Linked DNA regions of Drosophila melanogaster. The protein of the gene in region 2 interacts with the protein of the main gene of each other region in a pairwise test. Each region holds a gene or a part of one and is shown on either strand. Other genes may lie near its edges.

Evidence for each region. The genes of interacting proteins can lie anywhere in the genome.
Region 1: the proteins of CenB1A (region 2) and SNCF interact in a two-hybrid assay, tested with the Drosophila melanogaster proteins (one large-scale study listed by BioGRID).

The regions. Positions count from the first base shown.
Region 1 is NT_037436.4:13,376,916-13,379,717, forward strand, and holds SNCF (SoxNeuro Co-Factor), read left to right. Parts: upstream 1-1,667; 5' UTR 1,668-1,706; coding exon 1,707-2,147; 3' UTR 2,148-2,275; downstream 2,276-2,802. Other genes in the region: CG14111 (uncharacterized protein), read left to right, coding at 1,072-1,102, 2,357-2,700.
Region 2 is NT_033777.3:23,116,819-23,124,411, reverse strand, and holds CenB1A (centaurin beta 1A), read right to left. Parts: upstream 6,013-7,593; 5' UTR 5,624-6,012; coding exon 5,571-5,623; intron 4,146-5,570; coding exon 4,029-4,145; intron 3,952-4,028; coding exon 3,858-3,951; intron 3,796-3,857; coding exon 3,631-3,795; intron 3,571-3,630; coding exon 3,427-3,570; intron 3,201-3,426; exon of another isoform or gene 3,159-3,200; intron 3,076-3,158; coding exon 2,780-3,075; intron 2,606-2,779; coding exon of another isoform or gene 2,585-2,605; coding exon 2,468-2,584; intron 2,400-2,467; coding exon 2,241-2,399; intron 2,180-2,240; coding exon 1,025-2,179; intron 970-1,024; coding exon 783-969; 3' UTR 195-782; downstream 1-194. Other genes in the region: CG31365 (uncharacterized protein), read left to right, coding at 1-115; Rassf (Ras association family member), read left to right, coding at 6,874-6,913, 6,988-7,082, 7,149-7,331, 7,398-7,586.

The sequences.
Region 1 (2,802 bases), on a different chromosome or scaffold from region 2:
TTTTGTGAACTTCAGCCAAAAACTTATTGACAAAAATACAAAAAATATATTTGCCAAAAAAAATTGTTTATTCGCCCTGCTTAACCAAGAGTAAATTCATTCCCAAAGAAATCGTTGCCAATTTCGACCATTTCCCTATGGCCAAGTTTGTGTAGCCAACTTCTTGGGGCAATCGCCGCAGATCGATGTCTGGCACTGGCTGACTGAATCTCGGTCTAGACGTCGTCTAATGACAAACGCAAACCGCAAGAGATGAAGGACATTGAAGGAAACGTTATGCAAGGCAGCCGGAGCCAAGTCAAATGGAAATGCCATGGCTCCCCGTCTGGCAGCTAGATAAATAAACTGAACTTTAAATGGATGCAGTGACCCATCGATGACTTTTCAATGGTCTTGGCTAATTCCGGCTGACCACACTGAAAAGAAAAATCGCTATCTTACAATCATGTTCGAAAGAACAGTTCTGAAAAAAAAATTAAGCAAAAATGTATTTATTAAGAAACGAGTTGAATTGTACCATCATTATTACTATACCTTTGCTTTTAAATTTCTGATTTTCAATTCTATTTTTGGTAAATAATTTGGTATTATTATTTCTTTATACGCAAATCTATGACTTATTTTTCTTTGTGTAGAAAAGATGGAGCAGTAGAGAGATATGAGGACCCTTACAACTTCTGTTGGGCACTGAGGCGAAAGAATATCTCTCGAACCGAAAATCATAAAATGCATGCAAAATAAACCGAAAAAGTGGCGCATCATCATTATTTATTCGATATTCCCCCCTTCCACTACCTTGACCACCACCTTAGACAAGAGACTCAATCAATGACGACATCGGCTTTTAAATTTGTAGGGCCAAGAGATGGCGAAGCGAAATTTGCATAGAATACCAGAAAAGAGAAAAGTAGAGCCAGACTATTGAGAAATTAATATGCAAATTTCTGATAGTAGAACTTCGCATTGTTCCCATTCAAGTGAAATTTCTCAAACCAAAAACTTTGCCTTCTCAGCTATAAAATAGAAATCGCATGCCAAAAGTGGTTTCAGTATTATTATTAAGCACGAAACATGAAGACATCTTGGAGCTTTAGTTGCGGAGGTGCGTTCCATGCGAAAATTGTGGTATACGATGTGGGTTAGGTGTAAAGGATTTTTTGGTAACAGCTAGAAATGTGAATGTAACTTAGTGAAGTGAAAACAGATCCAAAGGCAGCTCTTGCCTTCAGGAAAACCAGGCGTTAGCAAGAAATTTCTAGGGGGACAGGGTCGTCTTCTTGCCAATTTCCATCGAATGTGCTTCTAGAACTATCCATGGTTTTGGAGAATTCCACGAAGGATATACGGGTATCCCCTGCTGAGTTTGACTGGAAAAATCGCCACAAAACCCCGAGGATCTGTGCGAACGGCGCTAAGTTGGCTGTCATAATTGAGGATTAAGCCGGGTGCGCGGATATCTTGCTAGTCATAAAGCCATAAACGAGACGGGGAAATTCCCGGCGACCCGGATCCCTTAGAAAACCCGAATGAAAAGCCTGTTAACAGTTTTTGGTTTACGGCATGCAAGCGCGTGACTGGCACCCGCTAATTACCTGGACCAAATATACCTGTGCGGAGGATCTACCTGCCCACCGGATCCTTTAAAAGGACCTCACCCCCTGGTCGGGGCATCATTCACTCCTGAGACTTACAACCCGCAACACACCATGATTGACCAGCACAAGCGCAGCCACAAATCAGAGAAATCCAGTCGCAAGTCGGGAAAGAAACATTCCGACAAACCACACAAGGTGAAGACCCACGATCCGCTCAAGAAACAAAAGAAGCGGGCTCTAAAGAAGCTCCGCCGCAAGTCCGCCACCGTGAATTTCCCGTACCAACTCTTCTTGTACCGCCAAGAACTAAGGCGGGCCAGCGCCGACTTTTCCTATCTCCGGCTGTCCAAGGCCAAGATAGTGCTTACCTCCCAACTAATCGCCAAGAAGATGGGCAGCTGCAATCCCGATTGCAGCGTGGACGAGCTTAAGGAACTCAGCCGCGAGGTGCAGTTCCAGAAACGCCTCTGCCATCAAGTGGAGCGCCTGCAGCAATTCCGGCAACTGGGACTCACCGAGATGATCCTCAACGGCAAGAAGACGACGCTGTAACCTGTGGAATTATAGAGGAAAAAGTCGGATTGAGCAGGCTGTTAGGCTGGGATGGGGCATTATTATAAGTTAGTCGCTAGTGTTTAGGTTGTAATATTTTATCAAATAAAATATCACATGGAAATTGCAAAACAAAATATTTTTTTTTCAACCGATGGGGAAATGTTCTTTGTGATAATGTTATTCATTTTAAATGTCTTGCCCTTTAGTTTTGCTCCTGTGTGGGATTATGTGCTCTGGCCAGAATGTAACGAAATCAAACAATAGCCAGGACATCATCACAGTGAAGGTCTTGCCGCAGTCAATATCTTCAGATCCTTCAACTGGTTCTTCCAGCTCAACCACCGCCACACCCACAGCCACAACTCCCAAACTAAAATCCAATCCTACAGCCAAGTCCGCCATACAGGCTCACGAAATCGAGGAGGAGGACGACGACTTCCACAACGATCGTCTTCCCGCCTTATCAGAGGATGAGTACAACAACCTGAGTGAGGACGCCAATCCGCTGCACTTCCTTAAGCAACAGCCCCTGGATCTTGAAAATGTGGAGGTGAGATTCCTTCACATTTTAGAAATCTATTTTTAAACAACTGTCAAATAATATAAACAATTGTAACTCAATCTATATATGAAAACGTAAATTTTTACGTCG
Region 2 (7,593 bases):
CCGTCAGTTTAACGATCGCAGTGCGGTCCAGAGACATGTAACCACAATGCACAAGGTGAAGAACAAGCTCACAGACTACATATCCGAGACGAACGAGTTTCAAGCTGTGGCCTAGAATAGTCCCTGGACATGTTTTACCAATACACCGCAGATTGGACCACCATGTTTTACACCTGAAGAGACCAACTTTGATTGATCTGAATATTTTACAACTTTATTCGCGAACCTAGAGTGCTCACAACAGTTGGCACCAAAAATCATCAACATGATAGCGTTAAAACATTTAGAAACATGCAGCATTAAACAGTTTAGCAAACAAATACAAATCGGAACATTTGGAACAGCTCTGTAACAAGATACATATAGCTAGACGTACATTTTACAATATCGTTTAATAAATACCACATAAGACGATGTACAATTTTATAGGCAAATATACGTATTTTTAATAAACTCAACTGCTCTACGAATACTTTAAACTTAAGCTAATCGCCAAAAACGGATTCAAAATGCGCCTAAGAGAAAACGAACGATCGTGCCTGCCATTCGAATGCCAAATGCAATGAATAATATTTTCTTGTATAATCGGAAGCGCTTTTCAAATGAGATTACCAAGGGAAACAAGCCCGCAACGACATCCTTAGAGGTCGAAACCGTTTAACATTCCTGGTTAATGCGTTATAAAGCCAATAACAATCCAATATCACGCTATCCTAATAATTGGAACAAATTATTCCATAATATCCAGTAAGGTCCTAACTCTTGCGGCCCTTCTGCCACTGCTAGTCGGAGTTTGTAAGCGAGCTGCGCTGCGATTCGAGTGTATTTGAGTCGTGCCGCTGGCGCAGAACTCGCGTCTGGCTGGCTGGTAACTTGGAGAAGTCCTTCATTACGTTCTTGTACGTCTCATCTTCGCCATTGTACTCGTCGTTGGGTCCAATCTCGTCATTCAGTTGTGTCAATCGGAGTCTGAAACAAGAATGGTTATGTATCTGCCGGATTGAAGCTCTGCTTTCTTACTCACAGCGTTACAATGTCTGCGTTTTCCTGGTCCACTGCAATGTCCAGAGCCTTCTTTCCGTCACTGGAGGAGAGGTCGTATGCAGCTTTATGCTTCAACAGCAAATACACTTGGGCGATGTGACCCTTGGCCGTTGATATGTGCAGGGCGCTGTAGCCCATCTCGTCCACAGCATCGATGGCGGCTCCGTTTAGTAGCAAAAACTCGCAGGCCATCACGGAGCCGGAAATGACGGCCTGGTGCAGAAACGATCGTTGCCGGTCTTGGGGATTTTTCCACATCTTGTCGGCACCCAATGCGAAGGCCATGCACATCACTGGTAGATTGTGCACCACCGAAGCCATGTACAGCAATTGATTGGCGTCTAGCTGGGAGAAGGGCAGTTCCTCTGGCGACTCCGCATCTGACTCGCCATCGGTGCTCTCTTGATCGCTGCCCAGAATGCCGGGAGTCTCTAGTCTGTCAAGAGCCAGGTCATCGCCGATCACAAGCAAATCGTCGCGTGAAATGCTTAGTGACATCGAGGGAATGTTGATGGATTCATCATCATCGTCATCTTCCAACTCGTCGCCGGTTTTGGCTGTGTTATAGATGCTCGGATCATCGCTCAACGTTTTTGGGATCGAGCGCTGCTTCTGCCTTCGTCGAAGTTTCTTCACCGCCCACTTTCGCGTGCCGCCCAGCGACAGAGTAGCTCGCTTAGCGATACCACTGCCTCCACTCTCGCCGTCCTCTACCACGCCGCCACTGTCTATGCTCAGCACTTCGGCTGTCTCGCTGGCCAGCAGCTCCTGCGGTTTGGGCATACCGCAGACGAACCGCCGCTCCACGTACTTCGCCTTGATCCAAGCCTCGCGCACTCCGATCTCGCACTGCTCCGTGGGCTTTTTGAGCCCACAATCATCGCCGATGCGTGCCTCATAGATGCGGTTAACCACCTCGTTGCCGAGCTCCATCATTACCTTCACGTTCTCCGACTCCCAGGCATCCAGCGTCAGGGAACGCACCTTGCTGTAGTGCACACCCAGGCTTCTGTGCACTCCGGAGCACTCGATGCACAGGGTGATGCCCAAGTTAATGGAGGCCCAGCGTGGTTCGGGGCTCCTGCAATCGCAACAATATGCGTTGCCCGGTATCTTCAGGAACTCTTCCCAGTGGCTGAGAAATGGGAAATAATTCATTATTATAAAACTGGATAATACGGGTGATTCAAACATACATTCTACGCTTTGCGGGCAGCGAATTATTGGGTGCGTTCGTCGATTGTGGTCGCGAGTGATGCGTGGAGTCATGCTGGATGGCAGCACCGATGCTGTGCTGTAGCGCGGAAATCCACAGGGAAAGCATGTCAGCGGAGTCAGCCTGCAGGATGTGAGATCTAAAAAAAAAGGGGAACAAATGAATTCCTTTGTCTGACAAATGACAAATCAAACACGAAATACTCACTTGGTCGGCGAGATGACCTCGAAGCAGAAACGGCGGTCACCCTCGTTTACCGGGCGCACGCTGCAGATGCGCAGATCCTCCTCCATGACCGAGAACGAGTCCTCGTTGCTGCGTTTTCTGCAATGCGAATCCAAATCACTTCAGCGTACGGCCACAACACATCACATTACACCACACAACAAAAACATCACAAAAATCAAAAGTTGCAAACGAAAAGAAGACGATTGATTAACTAAGCAAGCAGATGGGATGGCATACGTATGTATCTGGATGGACTACGTGAATAGCAGTTGTAAGGGAGCGTCCACTCACCTATATACGAGCTGGTTGTCGCTGAGGTAGAACCATCGTCGGCACCAGGTCTTGAAGCCCTTGGACTTCTTCTTGAATAGGTAGCCCTCGATCTTGTTGGACGTGCTATTGGTGTTCGAGTCGCAGTAGCGATTAACGCTCATATGGCGATTCTGCATGGCCTTCTCCAGCTGCTGATAGTCACCGCGCAAAGCGTTCAAATCCTCGCTGATATTCTTAAAGAACTCGTCGAAGTCGTTGCACAGATCGAAGCCCTGGTGGTAATAGGTCACGCACGCCTGATAGTAATCCAACAGCTGCCGAAAAAAAAGAGCAGAGGAGACCAACATGAAAACGTGCCAAATGCAAAGAATAACGGCTATTGTTCTCCAGCCTTTACCGACAGCGGCAATCCAGCTCAGCGCACTCCCGATAGACAACTGAGCGAATTGGCCAGCGCACCGACTGACTCAACATGCTGATCATTGGTTTTAGATATGAAACCCATACATGCTCATGTTGATATCACAACAGTGACGTCATAGCAATAACAAACCACTGAAAGTTATTTACTTAGTGGAAGTTGAGCACTTCATTCATGGCATTCATAGCAATCGAACGCCGATAAGCAATACTTTATTGGCAAGCAATACTTGCCCTTTCCTTACCGTGGATAGTATTGAGGGGACCTTGCGAGCCTGCGCTAGCGTTATATAGTTGACATAATCCAGAGCGGTGTGTTGGAAGCACGATTTCGAGGCAGAAAGGATATTGGCAGCCTCCTGCATCTCCTGCGGTCGGTTTTTGCTGGCCTGCAATGCAGAAATCAAGGATAAGGCTATCATATCACCTTTACTGCATGTCCAGCTTACCTGAGCGTTTTTAATCAGCGCATTGTCATAGCCTTCGGAAACCTTGAGAAAATGTCCCTTATAGTCCTTCACCTGGTTAATGTCGTCCTTCACGAACACACTGAGATTTTTAAGCACCGTGCGGCTAGCCTGATCCAAGAGTATGGTGTGGAACTTGTTCATCTCCTGGAAAACAAACAGCACACAAGGTTTATATAGCCCATATAGGATGTCACTGAAGCGATTACCTGGAAGCAGTGAATCAGCTTGCCCAGCGCATTGTGCGCGTTCTTATTGTCGAGAAAGTGCTGTTGTAGATCCCACAGGGACATGGCAAAGGCGCTAAAAAGTCGAGAATATGGCGAATCGATGCCAATGAATATGAATGAGCTAGGATAATGGCGCAGTGTGTTGTTTACCTCTGGTTCTTGACATACTCCTTGCCCGAGTCCACGGCCACATTGCACAGCTTGATGATTTTCTCCAAGCGCTGCTCCAAGTGCTCGATGTCGCTCTCCTCCTTGGAAACAAATTGTCTGCGGGGCGAGAAGCACAAAAAAAAAAACAAATCGAAAACGTTAGCACAATATCGTCGAGATGTAAACAAAAGATGGGCATCGGCTTGCGAGTGAGCTGGTGATTAAAATCGTCTTTGACTGGCTGAGCAGAGTAAACATAATCAACCAGCTTAATCAAAGAAGTTATCGCGGGGGCAGCGGATGATCCGACGCTCTCACTCTGCCTCTGTTTATGTTGACACTTTTAATTTATGCGGACTTATTAAAGCGCTGTTTGCTCTTCCAATTGAACACGAGTCGCCACCAAGTGAAGAAGGAGGAGGATACCCCATCTCTGGGGACAAGTTTTTGTATCACTCTGTTGCGTCTTCTTCGGGTTTTTCTCGTCTTTTTCCCCTGTGTCATCCATCGATTTGTCGGGCATTGCTTTTGTTTTAACTTTGTGTTTATTTTCTTGGACGTACTCGTTCCAGAGGCTAGCTACATGGTAATTTCGAATGGAGGTCTGTCTATTTCAGCAGTCAATTCATTCTGAGAGTGGCTTTGAAAAGTCGTATTCCGTGATAATATTGCTATCATACACAGTTTTCATTTTAAACTAATGGCTTTCGAAAGCTTCATATATCTTCAAATATGTGTTCGTCATTCAAACGATTGAGCCAAATGCACAATGAGTTGAAGTTTTTGATAAAAAATAAATCGTTTAATTCTACTTAAAACTGGAAACTAGTTTAAGCTAGTTTAAAAAAATGCATAACATTGATACATTTTACTATGGTTGCGATAATATCTGCCTAGTTCTGAAGCAATAGAAATGTCCTACTTTACAGATCCTTAGATTTCTTATTTTTTATATGCATGGCAGAAAAGTTCACATATGATTCACATAATTTATTGTAGTGTACTTCGGTTTCGAAACACCAAGGTCAAGTTGGCACTTCCACAAATGATAAAAGAACCGAAGTGCAGGAGAATCCAAGATAGTCTTGATTTCCTGTTTTCTTTCAAGTGAAGCTGCTGCAGGTGCGAAAAAGTGGGGAAGATGTGATGGGGCTGCTGGGCAAACAAGTTATCGCCGCGTTTGTGCACCGTTTTACGAGGGAAAGCTTTTGTCTTTGGACACGATTAGTGGAGAAGCGGCAATTTGGGTGAAATCTTATCAATCAGCGGCGGGCATTGAAGCGTTCGCGGACGGAGACGAGAGCATCGGCAATTTAATTGCGGAAATAAAGGGGCAGGCAGGCACATTCCACACTGCTGACGGGACAAAGTTTGTTCGATGGATGATTAAGCCGCGTTTTCAGGTGGAGCAGGTGGGGCGGTGTTGGGCTGTATCTGGTTTTGGATAGTAACCAGTCACGCTACATGGAGCAATTCGAATCTCACGCCAAATGCGGCTCAGGATGGGCACACAGTGGGGGCGGGGCTGCAGCTTATATGCACCTGAATCTGGGAGAATCCTTCAGGCACTCCTCGAACTCGATGGTGGCGCGCATTTTGGCCACCACGCAAGCAGCACCTAGACTGCACTGCTGGCTATTTCGCTACGCTAATTGAGGCCCGTGAATCTTTGTTGGCCTGTTGCTGCTGCTCTGCTTTGCTTTGCTTTCCTTGCTGAAGTGGGGATTTCGATGCGCGATTTTCGAGGGCGGCTCTGGGAGAAGCTAATTGCGGGCAGCAGGAGATATGGTGATTAGTCGCATCCTTGGCAATCGACGGCTACACACGTTGAGCACTGGCCCTAATTAGCGAAACTCGCCAATTTACGCGATTCGGGGCCGAATTTACCAAATTTACACAGCGCGCAGAGACAACAAATTAAAACGTCTCACTTTCTACTAGAGCAGATCGGTGTGCCCGCACTCGCAGCGAAAACAAATCTAGCAGCGCGAATGGTCACACACTTTGGCGGGCTTATTTGCTTTTGCTCATATCTTTTAAAATTTTAAATGTATTGAATGCTTAGTGTTTTCCTTGTGCTGATTTTCGTTTTAAAACTCGATTAGTTACGAAGATTTCAATTCAAAGGCATAAAACAACGCACATTGACATTGTCAGCACGGTTTATCAGTGTTGGAAACTTTTGTAGCTAAGAAGAAGCTAATTAGGAACTTAAATTCCCTAAAAGAAGATACAGCCCAAAAAAGATTTGGGTTCTAGCCATAATCAATGTAGATGTATTTAAAGTACAAACGATGACAATTTTAAACACCAAAACAAGCAAATCCGTTTCAAGCTACCGCCAGCCAAGTCAAATCTAGCTACAAAACAGATCAGCTGACAGCACCGCTGGATTTTAGGGTGCCCGCCTTGTGCGACAAGAATCCGCGGCCAGTGCTGCACAAGTGCCATTTTTCATTTCATTGTTCTGTTCTCTTTCTGCTGGTGCTGTTTTGGTTTAAGTGCAATTATCCACACAAGTACGCACCGAAAACCGATGCACCTGCACCGTGCACCAAGTGTGGGAGTGCCCAGTGCCAGTTTCATTTATAAAACTATGAGTTTCGCACGGCAACCAGCGCAGCTGACCGACTGACCGATCAGAGTCTCACGTCCCCCCTCGCCTCATGTGTTTACCCCTTGTCCAGCGTTCTATTTGCGTTTCGTGTCCGCTTTAAATCGCCTCATTTGCATACAACTCGACGGCTTTACGTCACAACTCTTTAAAATCGGCGAAGTAGAGGAGGAGGAGTGAAACACGCCCATTCCCGGAGGAAGCATTAGACCGACCTGTTTGGAATCCAGAATGTGGAAGTGCCACAAGTGCGGCAAACCCGTTTACTTCGGTAATGCACCCACACACGAGCGCATTGCGATCCGTAAATAACTTGTAAATTATATTTATTTATGCCCCGCACAGCGGAACGTAAACAATCGATCGGCTACGATTGGCATCCGGAATGTTTGCGCTGCGAGGAATGCGGCAAACGCTTAAATCCCGGCCAGCATGCTGAGGTAGGAGGATCACCTGTTAGTTAGCCGATCATGTGATCTATATAAAGCCTTTTGTTTTCCTTTCAGCACAAAAGTGTGCCCTACTGCCATGTGCCCTGCTATGGCGCCCTGTTTGGACCCCAGTTGTTTGGCCACGGCACCCGGGTGGAATCGCACAAAAGCTATGGGGTGAAGGGAGCCCAGAAGCCAACCGGAGCTCAGGCCAATGGCCCGCCACTCCCACGTGATCACCTGGAGTCCAAACTTAAGGTGCAGAACGCAATACCCAGACATATCAATATCTCATGACTCACCAAATTCCCTTTTAATGGGCAGGTCTACAACCAATTCTACGACAACAAAAGCCTGGAGATACGTAGTCGTGAGGTCAACAACCGGTTGGTGCTGGAAGGCGCGCTTAGAGTTTACTGGGGCGTGCAGGGAGTGATTCATCTCAAGGAGGACGATGATCAGCGCATCTTAGTGCGCAAAAGGAACTCTTGCCGTGTGTCCAAGGCTGCCAATGTAAGCT